Ovis aries: one gene and its partners. The protein of the gene in region 3 interacts with the protein of the main gene of each other region in a pairwise test. Links are inferred from orthologs where the notes say so. Each region holds a gene or a part of one and is shown on either strand. Other genes may lie near its edges.

Evidence for each region.
Region 1: the proteins of OSGIN1 (region 3) and CAPN3 interact in binary tests that used the Homo sapiens proteins (3 or more experiments, as listed by UniProt). The two-hybrid records come from large-scale screens. The link is inferred for Ovis aries from reciprocal best matches to the Homo sapiens genes OSGIN1 and CAPN3.
Region 2: the proteins of OSGIN1 (region 3) and BCAR3 interact in binary tests that used the Homo sapiens proteins (3 or more experiments, as listed by UniProt). The link is inferred for Ovis aries from reciprocal best matches to the Homo sapiens genes OSGIN1 and BCAR3.

The regions. Positions count from the first base shown.
Region 1 is NC_056060.1:35,935,851-35,940,131, reverse strand, and holds the start of CAPN3 (calpain-3), read right to left. Parts: upstream 2,828-4,281; 5' UTR 2,504-2,827; coding exon 2,195-2,503; intron 1-2,194. UniProt on the Homo sapiens protein: Calcium-regulated non-lysosomal thiol-protease. Proteolytically cleaves CTBP1 at 'His-409'. Mediates, with UTP25, the proteasome-independent degradation of p53/TP53.
Region 2 is NC_056054.1:70,768,718-70,772,257, forward strand, and holds part of BCAR3 (breast cancer anti-estrogen resistance protein 3), read right to left. Parts: exon of another isoform or gene 1,744-3,540; intron 942-1,743; coding exon 813-941; intron 1-812. UniProt on the Homo sapiens protein: Acts as an adapter protein downstream of several growth factor receptors to promote cell proliferation, migration, and redistribution of actin fibers.
Region 3 is NC_056067.1:9,817,819-9,822,080, reverse strand, and holds the start of OSGIN1 (oxidative stress-induced growth inhibitor 1), read right to left. Parts: upstream 2,810-4,262; 5' UTR 2,713-2,809; intron 2,532-2,712; exon of another isoform or gene 2,473-2,531; intron 956-2,472; 5' UTR 772-955; intron 1-771. UniProt on the Homo sapiens protein: Monooxygenase catalytic activity. Involved in regulation of cytokinesis; promotes RHOA activity, probably acting locally at the midbody in late cytokinesis.

The DNA of each region.
Region 1 (4,281 bases), on a different chromosome or scaffold from region 3:
ACAGAGATTGGGCTTTGCTATCTGGCCCTTTAGAGACAGTACAAAGTTCCGGACTTGGGGGGGGCGGTGGTGGTGGGAGCACAATTTAGGACAAGGCTTCTCATGGCCTTCCTTTCACATTGACAATGGCAGTTTGTTTCAGGACCCATCTAGGGCCTAGAGCATAACAGACCCATTTAAAGCATGTTTATTAATGTGTAGGTCTAAGTTTTAAGGCTAAAATCCACCAACAATTTCACTAAAAGCAGTATTTGTAAGTTTTTTGGTTTTTGTCTCTGCAGAACTGTTAGAAAAGGCTTTCAGGAACTATCAGGTTGGAGCACAGGACTGTCCCCTCTCAGAGGTCAATACTCTGTGATGTGGGCTTTCATTTACCACCAGCAGCTGAGTGCCTCCTGCGGGCTAGGTGCTTTGCTGAGTGAGGGGCTCCCAAGAGGAATGAGAATGCTCCCCCCCTCTCAGCTGATGGGAATGGCCATGAGAAAGCTGGAAGGAAGTGATACCTGAGCAGGGTTTCACAGCAAGGGTAAGGCAGAACAAAGCAGATAAAAACAAGGGCATGGCAGGCAGACAGCAGGAGCAAAGGCTGAGAGATATAAGACTTGAGACAACAGAGCAGCTGCGTGTGACAGGGTCCAGGGGAGAGGGTGAAGGAGAGATGGACAGGGAGGCCGGGCTGGCTGGAGGAGAGGCAATCCCCCAGGTAGGGAGTTTGATCTCAAGGCCTGCGGGCGGGGGCAGGGAGAGCGGTGTGGTTGAAGGTATTTCAGCAGGGATGTGATGTGTCCCAGTGCCCTGGCAGCAAGGCAGTGACTGGCTTGGGGAATGAAGTTCTTTCCAATCCTCTCTTGTAAACCGAGGGCCCTCAGGACAGTCATGGGCCTGGCCGCAGAACCGGCAGGTGCAGGGTGGGGCCCTTGGGGAACACAGTGTGAAGACAGGGTTGCTGGCTACTTCATCTCAGGTTAAAAACAGACACATGGCTCATGAACAGCACCAGGCCCCAGTGCTTCTTTTCACTTTGCCAGTGGCCATGTGGTTCTGAAATACAGAGCCCTGGAAAGAGGAGAGTGGCAGCGAAGACTACTTTTTCAAGCACAAAATGTTAGGATTAGAAGGAGAAGCCCCAGCCGTCATTTGTCCTCACCTCCTGAATGAGGAAATAAAGACACACCACAGCGAGGCTTATCCAGTTTAACCCCATGAAGCTAAAAAACAGCACTCAGATAACATGGGTTCCTCAGGAGGGGCTCTCTCTCTCTGGCGGAGGTTAACTCTCCTTGCCTTCTGATCCCATAGCACCCTGAGCGTTGTCTCCTGCAATTTATCCATCTTATTCAAAGCATGTCTTGCCCTCAGGACTCTTGGCTGAAGGTGGGCAGGAATTTTTGTTTTTCTTATTTACGCTGACTCCTCAGTTGCTTGCCTGGTTTCTGGCTTAGAAGACGTTCAAAAATACTTATTGAATTAAAGAAAGGGTCATGTCAGAGGTGTGATCAGAGAAGGAAGCCTGGAAAATGTAACTTGCCTTCCGGTAGATTACTGTACATGGAAGCCAAAGGCTGGAAGAGCCCTTAAGAGAGAAAGGGTTTTCATCCAGGCTGTCATGCGTGTCTTGAATAGGCTTTGCTGTGGTGTGTCTTTATTTCCTCATTCAGGAGATTAGGACAAATGATGGCTGGGGCTTCTCCTTCTAATCCTAACATTTTGTGCTTGAAAAAGTAGTCTTCGCTGCCATTCTCCTCTTTTTAGGACTCTGTATTTCAGAACCACATGGCCACTGGCAAACTAAAATGAACATCACAATTTTCACCCTCCAGTGAGAGAGTGAAAACAATCCTAATAAGATGCAGGACACCCAACAGAGAGTAGATCTGGACTCCTCTCCAAGTCAGAATTTTGGAAGTTGTTTGGCTATTCCAGTTTGGAATTTGTTCTGGGAAAGGAATATTTCCTTTTTATAGGGTGAATTAAATTGAGTTCCAATTGCTTTCATAAAATAACAAGATTTTTTTCAGAAAGAGAGCAAGGAGTGAGAATGAGCCCTCCTCCCTTGAGGACAGAGCCCCATGGAGCTGTTCCAGGATCCTCCACCCAGTGCCCTGTGCCCCCATGAGCTGTGCTGTGGAGAAGTGCTGAGTAGGAGGTTTTCCCTGAGGAAAAAAACCCAAGCAGCGAGCAGTCAGCTACTCACCGGAGGTCTCTTCCAGATGAACTGGATGGGGAACTTCTGGCTGTAAAACAGGGAGGTCTCGTCCGGTGGGAACTCAGGATCCACAAAAAGAACCTTCTTTTCCAGACATTTCCTGTGGAGCTGCTCGAAAGTCTTCTCTTTCACCCCAATAATGGGAAAATTGCGGCTGATGATGGCTGAGTAGATGCCACTTGGGTTTCCACCCCCTGCCTCAGTGCCCTTGCCCTGGGCTGCCTGAGCGATGGGCCCTGGGGACCTGGGCTCAGCCCCTGTCCGTGGGGCCACAGAGGCGCTAATGACAGTCGGCATGGCAGGCAAATTTGGAAAGAAAAGGTTTTTAAAGACAGCAAGATTCAGCTACCTTTAAGGAAAGGAAGCAACTGCAAAGGGGAAGTTCCAGTGATTCTGTCATCGGAAAGAAAAATGTCCACATCCAATTCGAAGTTTAAAACCCATCAGAAGGTCATCCAGCTTAAAAACTGAGCTGTGGTCCGGAAGCCATCAGTTTTCCTGAGGAAGGAGCACTAAATGATTTCTGCAGCAGTTTCTACCTGGGGGGCTCCAACCAGCAGCATACATACCAGAGGGAGAGAAAGAGAGTGAGGGTTGTGTTTCCGTGGCCCAAAGAAGCTTGAGCCAGGAAGACCAAAAATAGACATGAAGAAAGATCATGAGTATGAGAGCAAGAGAGAGGGTAGTGGTGCAGCTAGACTGCGTGGTAGAGAGAGAAGGACCTGGTCAGTGGTGTCCCTGTGTTGCCATGAAGTGCTGACGTTATCAGGAAATGAAAGGGGAATATGTGAGAAAGTTGAAACTGAAAATTAGCAAAGAATGGCAGATGCAGTATTGAATCAGCAGACTACCAAACTATCGACCACCAGATTAATGGAGAACAACACTGAGAAAAGCTAGCAAGTGTGGATGTGAGATACTGAATTCTAGGAGAATATTCTAGGCATTTTTGAGAACATGGGTTTTTACTTTTAAAAATTCTAGGATATCAGAACCTTATTCGACTTGATTTGGCATCTCTTCTAGAATGTTCTGATGTCAGCGTTCAGTGAAAGCGTCTGGGTGGAAAATGCCACTCAGCAAAGTTCTCAGCTGAGAAAATCCCTGTCTCTTCTTGACTTAGGCATCGCTTGTCTCTCCCCACCTCCCCAAATCAACACTGGGACCAGATCCTCTACAGAAGTGTACCTGAACACAGCATATGCAGGCATGCCACATTAGGCATCTGAGTCAGAAGTTGGAATTGGATACTGAGCCAGGTTGGCTGTCAAGTCCTGGCATGTGATACCTAAAAAGGTGGCTTTGGGCACAAGTGGCTCTGGGGAATTGCCTGCCTGGCCTCCACCTTGTCTTCTGCTCATGGTAGCTGCTACCCAGGCTGTAAGGAGATTTCCAAGTGTGGCTGAGTGGAAATTAGTCCCAGACTGCAGTCCCGCCTGTCCCCATGTGACCACCTCATCAGCCCAAGGCTAGAGGCTATGAGAGAAGTGGGGAAGTGACAGATGGAATAGGGAGAATTACAGGGTCATGATCCACCAGGGTTGCAGTTTTGAAGAGCCCTAGGTCTGGAGTTGCAGCTTGTAGGAACCATAAGCTTATTCTCCCATCCCTCCAAGGAAAAGCCCAAGGGTCTTTACTGCTGCTCTTGCAGAGCAGAACAGAGGAGGGAGCATCTGAAGCTGATGTCTAGGTTCACAGTCTAGGCTTGTGGCTCCCTTGCTGAGCCTGTGCAGCTGTAGGGGGAGTGTGTGTGTTAGTCGCTCAGTCATGTCCGACTCTGTGACCCTATGGACTGTAGCCCGCCAGGCTCCTCTGTCCATGGGATTTTCCAGGGAAGAATACTGGGGTTGGCTGTCATTCCCATCTCCATGATTAAGTAGGTTACTTCCTCCTTTCATCTGATGTCTCAGTCTTCTTGCCTATAATATGGGTATAATGGTAGTCATTCTGTTATTGAGTTGTAAAAATTAAGCAAATTGTATAAAACATTTAAAATAGTGCCAGGATTGTCTTAAGCACATAATAAATGTTGTTATTGTGTCAACTTAAAAAAAAAGCACAACATGAGAGTTGCA
Region 2 (3,540 bases), on a different chromosome or scaffold from region 3:
AAGGAAAATTCTATACCTCAATTCTGCACTTATTTTTCAATTTCTATACTATTAAATACAAAAACATTATTCATGGCTAGGACCCAAAGGACAATCACACAAAGTATATTCTGGCTATGAGTCTGTGGTCGCGGGTAAAATTCGTCTTCCCCATTTCTGGGCCAGGGGCCGGATAGGGGAGTCAGACACGACTGAGCGACTTCACTTTCACTTTTCACTTTCATGCATTGGAGAAGGAAATGGCAACCCACTCCAGCATTCTTGCCTGGAGAATCCCAGGGACTGGGGAGCCGGTGGGCTGCCGTCTATGGGGTCGCACAGAGTCGGACACGACTGAAGCGACTTAGCAGCAGCAGCAGCAGCAGCAGAGAATGAATAATTGCCGGCCCCACTAGGGCACAGGCGGCCTGTTTCTCTGGGTTACCTGCCCTGATGATACCCTCTTTTCACCTGAAATTAAACCACGGCCTTAAGAAGGAAGCAGGCTCCACAGGCTATGAGGCTGCAGGCAGCTGGCCAGGAGTTCAATTAGCTGAACCACAGCCCGCCCTCATATTCCCCGAGGTGCCACCCTGCATGGCTGCCTCCCACTGGGCCCGTGTTTACAGACCGCAGAACAACTGCTTTTCCTTCATCCCCTCACTGGCCACAGGCAAATGGACTTTGAATTCTGACCTTAGCTCTTCCCAAGATCTCCTTAGAAACGGGCCTACGTTAAGTCACCGCAAGCCACTTCATATTATTTCGTTTGGGCTGAACTGGAGCTTGCTCCTAACAGCCCTGGGCACATGACCTTGCGTGCAGGCAGGTACCTGTCGGGGGATGCGGCCGTGGTACCAGGCGTGGCTGCGCAGATCCTCACTGCTCAGCAGCAGCTCCTCCTCCAGCTCCTTCTTCAGCCTCTCAGGGGTCCTGTCCATGACGTGCCTCTCCTTGGAGAACTGCAACACAGGGTCCCCAGTCACCAGTGACCTTCCCACCCTGCTCAGACTGGCGAGCCCAGGCCAGCCACCCAGAGAAGACAGCCTTGCAGTCAGCTGCTTTGCTATCAAAGCAGTATATCCCCAAAGCCCCGGTCAGGTAGGGGAGCCTGGATAATGATTACAATTAGCTGTGACCTTTCATTTCTCTGGCTGCAAGTGTGCAGTAAAATTTTCACCTGCACACAGGGACTATGACAGCAGAGTTAGCCAAGCTGCTCCTTTTATTGCTCTGCTCGTGAAGCAGCTGAAAACGTGGGGAGCAGGGTGGGGGGCAGCAGGGAAACAGATGTGTGGGGCATGAGGTACATCAAAATTGCTTAGGGAGCTTCCTCGTTCTCCTTCTGAACTGTCCTGACACACAGCTGGGAAGGACACAGTCCCCACCTGGCCCTGGAGGGACAACACTGTCCAAAGTGCTGCCTTAATGACCTGAATGTTTTGCTACTGGCCAACTCCAGTTCAGGACTGAGTTTGCTTTTAGAAACGTTTGGAGCAATTGAACAGAGTAATGTCTCCTGCATCTACTAACAGAAGTCGGAGTTTGTGTTTTGTATGTGATTTTAATTTCATTTTTCTAATATTTTTTTTATAACAGACTGGAAATTGAAACTTAAAGAACTGACTCTTCCCTTCAGGCAGTTTGAGAATCACTATCTCTAGGTCTTTGTCCAGCGGCCGGGACAGGAGTTCTGGGTGGGTAGCGCTCACTGGGGTTTAATTTAGAACCCACACCCACTTACAACATATGAACTGAACTTGGACACCTGCCGGGTTCCTAGCAAAACCAGGCTCAGGGACTATGGCTGAAGGTCATACAAGAAGGAAAAGGTCATGCGCATGTCCTTGTATTTTCTCAATTTTCCCAGGTTGGCTTCAAAAGTCTGTAGGACTCACAAAACTATCCTCATCATTCTGCCCTGCACCTTAGCAAGGAAAGAGCCCCCAAACTGCCTTTACTCAAGGAAAAGACCTGGGGGCTTCCCTGGTGGCTCAGTGGTAAAGAATCTACCTGCCAGTTCAGGAGACACAGGTTTGATCCCTGACCCAGGGAGTTCCCACAGGCCGCAGAGCAACTAAGCCCACGTGCCACAACTACTGAGCTAGCGCTCTAGAACCCAGGACCTCAACCACCGAAGCCTGCGCCACCTGGAGTCTGCGCTCTGCCAAGAGAAGCCACTGCAATGAGACGTTGGAGCAGTGCAGCTGAGAAAAGCCCGCACGGCAATGAAGACCTGGCACAGCCAAAAGAAAGTAAATAAAATTAAAAAAAAAAAAAGAAGAAGAAGAAAAAGACTTGGGATTTTACTGCTGGATTCTTATCCTCAACCCATGAGGGCTCTGGCAGCAGAATGCGTCCCCAGCTGCTTTCGAGGTAAGGATCTGGCTTACTAATTATTTACTTCTCCCCTTCCCCTTCCCCTCCACTCCTCACAGTGCAGGCCCTCGGGAGTGTTTGATGGATGAGCTGAATTCCTATCAAAGCGATGCTGATGCAGGCTGCCCATGGCGCCCGCAGGCATTAGCAGTGATGTCTGACACTGTCGGCTTCGATCATTAATTATGTACAGGTACATCTGAAGAGAGCTCCTGGGGAAGACTTGAGTACAGAATGTAGGTTGTCAACCAGGCCACATGTGCTATGCGTTTATTGTCTGTCTCACCTCCTGCTAGATAATCAGCGTCACGAGACCAGAGCCCATCTGCCTGCCTCGCTGTTGCCCTCGAGAAGTGCATGAACACGTGGGGTACCCCCTACTCACTGAATGAACAGATAACCCAAGATGAAGAAGGCCTGTGACTTTTCTTAGTTATGAAAGTTCTATTTCCTCTCAAATTACCTGAAACCCTGTTATAGTTGGGTGTGTTGCCATACAGCTACAGGATGATAGTCCTCAATCTCCCTCTCTTACTGGGAGGTGCGGCCACATGACCAAGTTCTGGCCAGAGAAGGATAAACTGCCACTCTGGTGGGACTTGCAAGCTGAGATGTGATGGCTGGAGCTGCAACACCATCCTGGACCATGAGGAAGAAGCCAAGCCACAGGAACTGGGGTGAGGGTGGGGCAGGCAGAAGGCCTGAACAAGCCCAGGTCCCTCACAGCAGTAAGGCCAACACCCCAGCCCTGGATTGCCCATTTCCAGGTCTTCCATGTAACCTCTCTTTTTTAAGCCTGTTATTTTGAGTGTTCCTGTCACTAGCAGCTGAGTTAAATCCTGGCTGATACTGTGACCCAGGCCTCTATTTAGCCACCCTGGCAATCTGTATGTCCAGCCTAAATCCCTTGTCCTGAGCCCTGAAAATGCAGCAACCAGCAGCTCCCATCCTCTGCATAACCCTCCACTGAAGCTGTATTTGCCCTAACCCCTAAAGCTATTGCCATACTTCTGTTTGCATTCCCCTTGCTCCCTGATTCCCAACATCCAGGCCATGTCCCACCACCCTCACCCTCTCTCTCCTTCTCAGCATCTCATCAATATCAAAGCTGTTTTTAACATTTTATACATGACAATCTTTTACTCTAGGTTTTGAGATAATATTGTTCACACTTGTTACCAA
Region 3 (4,262 bases):
GGCACAGGGCCCAGACCGCCCCGAGCAGCCAGGGATGGGAGCCTGGCATCACCCGCCTTCAGAATTCTTCCAGGAAAAAGCTTAAATCCGGATTTTTATGTGAATTCCCTGATTTGGAAGAGTATGCAACTGATTCACGTTTTTTGCAAATCTTGAACGGGCTGAGGGAGCACGACCGAGGCCAGCGTGGGACCTCTGATGTGCCAAGAGTGACAGCAACACCAGTGTCCCCCACCGGGCGGGGAGGGGACAGCCGGGGGGTCTGGCCAGAGGACCTGGGTGTCGCTGCCACGGCACTGACAACGGGCCCGCCCACAGCCTTTACAGTTTGCAAGGAGAGGAGCTTGCAGCTAAGCCACAGCATCTGTGCCCCGCAGGCACCTGGAGAGGCGGGCGCCGTCATCTCCGGCTGGCAGTTGAGCGGGGGGGGCTTGGAGGCAGCAGTGTCACAGGGGGGTGTGCCCTCTGGTCTCCAGAGAACCGCCTCAGTGGGGCCTGGGCCATGAGCTGTATCCCCCATCAGGGACCCCTTGCCCCACTCCACTCCTGGTTCCCTGCAGGGACCCCGCTGTCCGCTCTGGGGTGACACCACAGCCACATAGAACAACCAACATTTCTGAACTTCTGCGGGCTGAGCCGGGTGCTGAGCATGCCCTGAACACTTGACGCACATTCACCAACTTAACCCACATTTAACCGGGTTGTTAGAAGTACTCTCACGACCGCACCCATATTACAGATGGGGAAGCTGAGGCCCAGCAAGTGTCTCACCGTCCTGGATGGCTTGCGGGGAATTTGCCACAAGGGGTGCCGGCTCAACTGGTTTTGAGCCTGGGCTGCTCTGTGCGAGGGCCTTCTCGTGCCCCCCGAGGCAGTGTGACAGGGTGTCACGGGGTGTGACAGCGTGTGATGGAGGCCCCTCCAGGCTGAGTGCAGCTCTGTCCCAGTGCTCCACCTGGGGGGGGGGGGGACAGCGTCTCACTGGCCAGCCGCTGGGTGTGCCGGTGGCCCTGGGGCAGGGGCTGTGGTTCCTAGAACACTCCCTTCACACAAGCCCAGGGCTCCACGCTGATGTCCTCACTGTCCCCAGGAACAGGTGACATCCTTGTCACGACATCCTTTCGCATCGGCGCCTTTCATCCTCAGGGAAAGCACTCTACAGACGAGCAAACTGAGGCTCAGGGCAGTGAGGCCACGCCCCCGATGTCAGAGAGCCAGTGGATAATGAATCAAGAGTTTGGTCCCTAGACACCCCACAGCCTGCCACATGGGGTACCCACAGAGCGCCCACCCCAGGACAAGTCATTTTCTGCCCTGTCCCTGTGAATCCTCCCAGCGCCAGTAAGAGGGGTGTTTGCAGGAGCCCCCGTTTATAGACAAGGAGGCACTGCAGGCTGCCTGTCTTCACGCTCCCAGGAGGGAGAAGGCCCCATTCACCACCAGGGCTTTTGGACCCCACGTCCAGTGCTCATGCCAGAAACTTCTGGATGCCACACGCATGAGGTCACCACCCAGAGGCTGACCTGAGCGGTTGCTTCCTGCACCGCAATACACAGGGCCCAAGTCCCGAGACTTGGAGCTCTCAAAACCTCCTCGGAAGAGTGCACGCTGCCAACTTTCCATTTGAAAGTGTAACTTCCTATTTCTCACACACTGTTTAGTTTTGGGGAGCTGGGAAGGTCAGTTTCCAACGTCCCTCTGGTTGAAGACGGCAAATGTTGACATTAAAAAGGCCTTCAAGTTCACAGGAGAAAAGCAGCGTAAAAGAAATGGGAATAATTGCACCTTCCTGGGTGTGGAGCGTAGAGTTTGGAGCATTGCAATTTCTAGGGTTATTGAAGATTACACTGCTCTAAGGCTTAGGACACCTGTATGGCTACATTTACTGAGCACCTGCGGTACTTTTGCTCATTTCACTTTAATGACAACCCTCCTACCCCACCCCGTGGATTTTTTTTTTTTCTGTTATCCCTATTGCCCAAAGGGAAAAACTGGGGTCAGGAGGGTGGTGTCTTTTCCAGGAATGTCAGAGACCACACCCCAAACCCTGCCCTGTGACACCTGTCGGAGTCCCCTCTGAGGAAGATGACACAACAGTGCCCCCAAGAAAGTGCCGTGAGGCCGGGGCAGAGGAGGATGGGGAGGTGCTCCGCCAGCCCAAGTGCCACCTGCCAGTCACCAGAGTGAGCCCTTGGCCTCTGCACCCACCCCCTGATACCAGTGCCCCCAGAGCCTCCCTCATCTGGAGCCCCAAGAGCTCTCCAGACCCTCTGAAACTCCACTCCTCATTCTCGGTACCCCCAACCCTCCTGTGAGAAGCCAGGTCCCCCTCGACCCTGGGGGCTCGGTCCGTGAGAACAGGAGAGGCGGAGACGGAGGGCAGCACCCAGCCTGCCCGCGGGACCTGGTCAGCCGGCCTGGGCTGGCCACACCTCTCTTTCCTGCCTGGAGTAGCATCACGTGGGCTGAGGTGAACTCCCAGCAAGCCAGCCGGCAGGGCAGCTGTCAGCGAGGGTGCCAGGCACCTGGAGGTGGGCATGGCCAGGAGGGGGGGAGGAGGATCTCGGGGGTTGGGGGGGGGTCATGCTGGTCATGGGGAGCCGGGGTGGTCCGCCCTCAGGACCGCCTGGGGTCCCCTTGCCTGGCCCCAGGGCCCTGCCCGGGTCGGGCTACCTTCTCCCACCTCCCCCAAGCCTCGCCCGGGTCACTCACCTGACCGGCCGGGGTCGAGGACACTGGGGAGCGCGGTCAGGCCTCTCGGAGAACCTGGGTCAGGGAGCCGGGTTACCCCGTAGGGATTCAAGAGGGTGCGAGAGACGGGAAGCCCGGGTATTTCAGGGGCTGGGAAGAGGCGGGCGGAGGGCGGGGCCAGGAAAATCACTTTCATAAGCGTGAGTCAGCAGGGGCCCCTGGATGAATGAACTTGCACACTTGAGGGCGAGCGGTCACGTTGCCAGCCCCGGGGGACGGCCTTAGAGGGCCCACCCCGGGGTGGTCCATGGCGAGGAGGCGGGGCGGACACCGGCCGGGCTGAGCCAACCTGGCCTTTCGCCTTTTAGGGAGGCGGAGACAGTCCCGCCCAACGTACCATCAAGGCGGTCGCTTTGAGTGGAGAAAGTCCCGGTTCTGCTGGGGGTCTCCGCGGTTCTCCACCCCACGCCCCCTCCTGGCTCGGCCCCAGGCTGGGAGCCCCGCCCTGCCCGCTCCTGGGTGGGCTGCCTCAGTTCCCCCGTCTGCGAGGGGGGCCATGCGGCACCTCTCCTTCCTGGGTGACCGTGCTGTTTCGGTGACTGTGCCTGAAACAAGGCTCAGAGCTCCTTTTCTTCATTCCAGCCCCCCACCTCTCCGTCTTTAGCCAGGAGCATTGCATACCTCACGTTCTGCTGATCCTTATGGATTTTGTTATATTATCGTCTCTCCCCAAACCGGGATGTGGATTCTGTATGGTGCGGGAAGCATCTCTACGTCTGTTCTATCCCACGTCTGGGAGGGCACTCAGCACAGTTAGGGCGCTCAGGAAAGGAAAGTCGGGAGGAAGTGAGGGCAGTGCTTGGCCTATAGACTCAATGCCTATTAGCTGTTATTTCATTTTTCATGCGATTGTCACCTCTCTTACCTGGAGACTTTCCTGCCAGCCCTGCCCTGTGAGGGGGACCAGGGATATGTTTTGCCCCACTACCGCTGGGACCAGGGTGAAGCAAGAAGGTCCTCACCTTGTGTACAGCATTTAAGGGGAAGCCCCAAAACACTCAGAGATCAAGAAAAAGAGCATTTTGATGCAATTGAAAAAAAAAAATCAAAATTAATGCCCAAATGGTACTTCCCCGGCGGTCCAGTGGTTAAGACTGTGTTCCCAATGCAGGGGCACAGGTTTGATCCTGGTCAGGGAACTAAGATCTCTCATACTTCATAGTGCAACCAAAGAAAAAAAAGATTAAAAAAAATTAATGTCCAAAACCCAAGATGAACAAAATTGTTAAAACTTCAGACAAAGGCAGTATCTCTAACCAGGCCATGCTGAGCAGTACCGGAACCTGCTGCAAAAATCAGATGCTGATGCTGCCTTTATTTAACACTTTGATGTTTTGTTCATCCTGGATTTTGGTGTTTTTTATATTCTTGATTTTTAAAAATATGGTGGGGCTTCTGTGGTTAAGAATCTACCTGCCAGTGCAGGGGACACGGGTTCGACCCCTGGTCTGGGAAGATCCCACGTGCTGCAGTGAAGCCTGTGAGCCTCAGCTACTGAGCCTGCGTGCCCT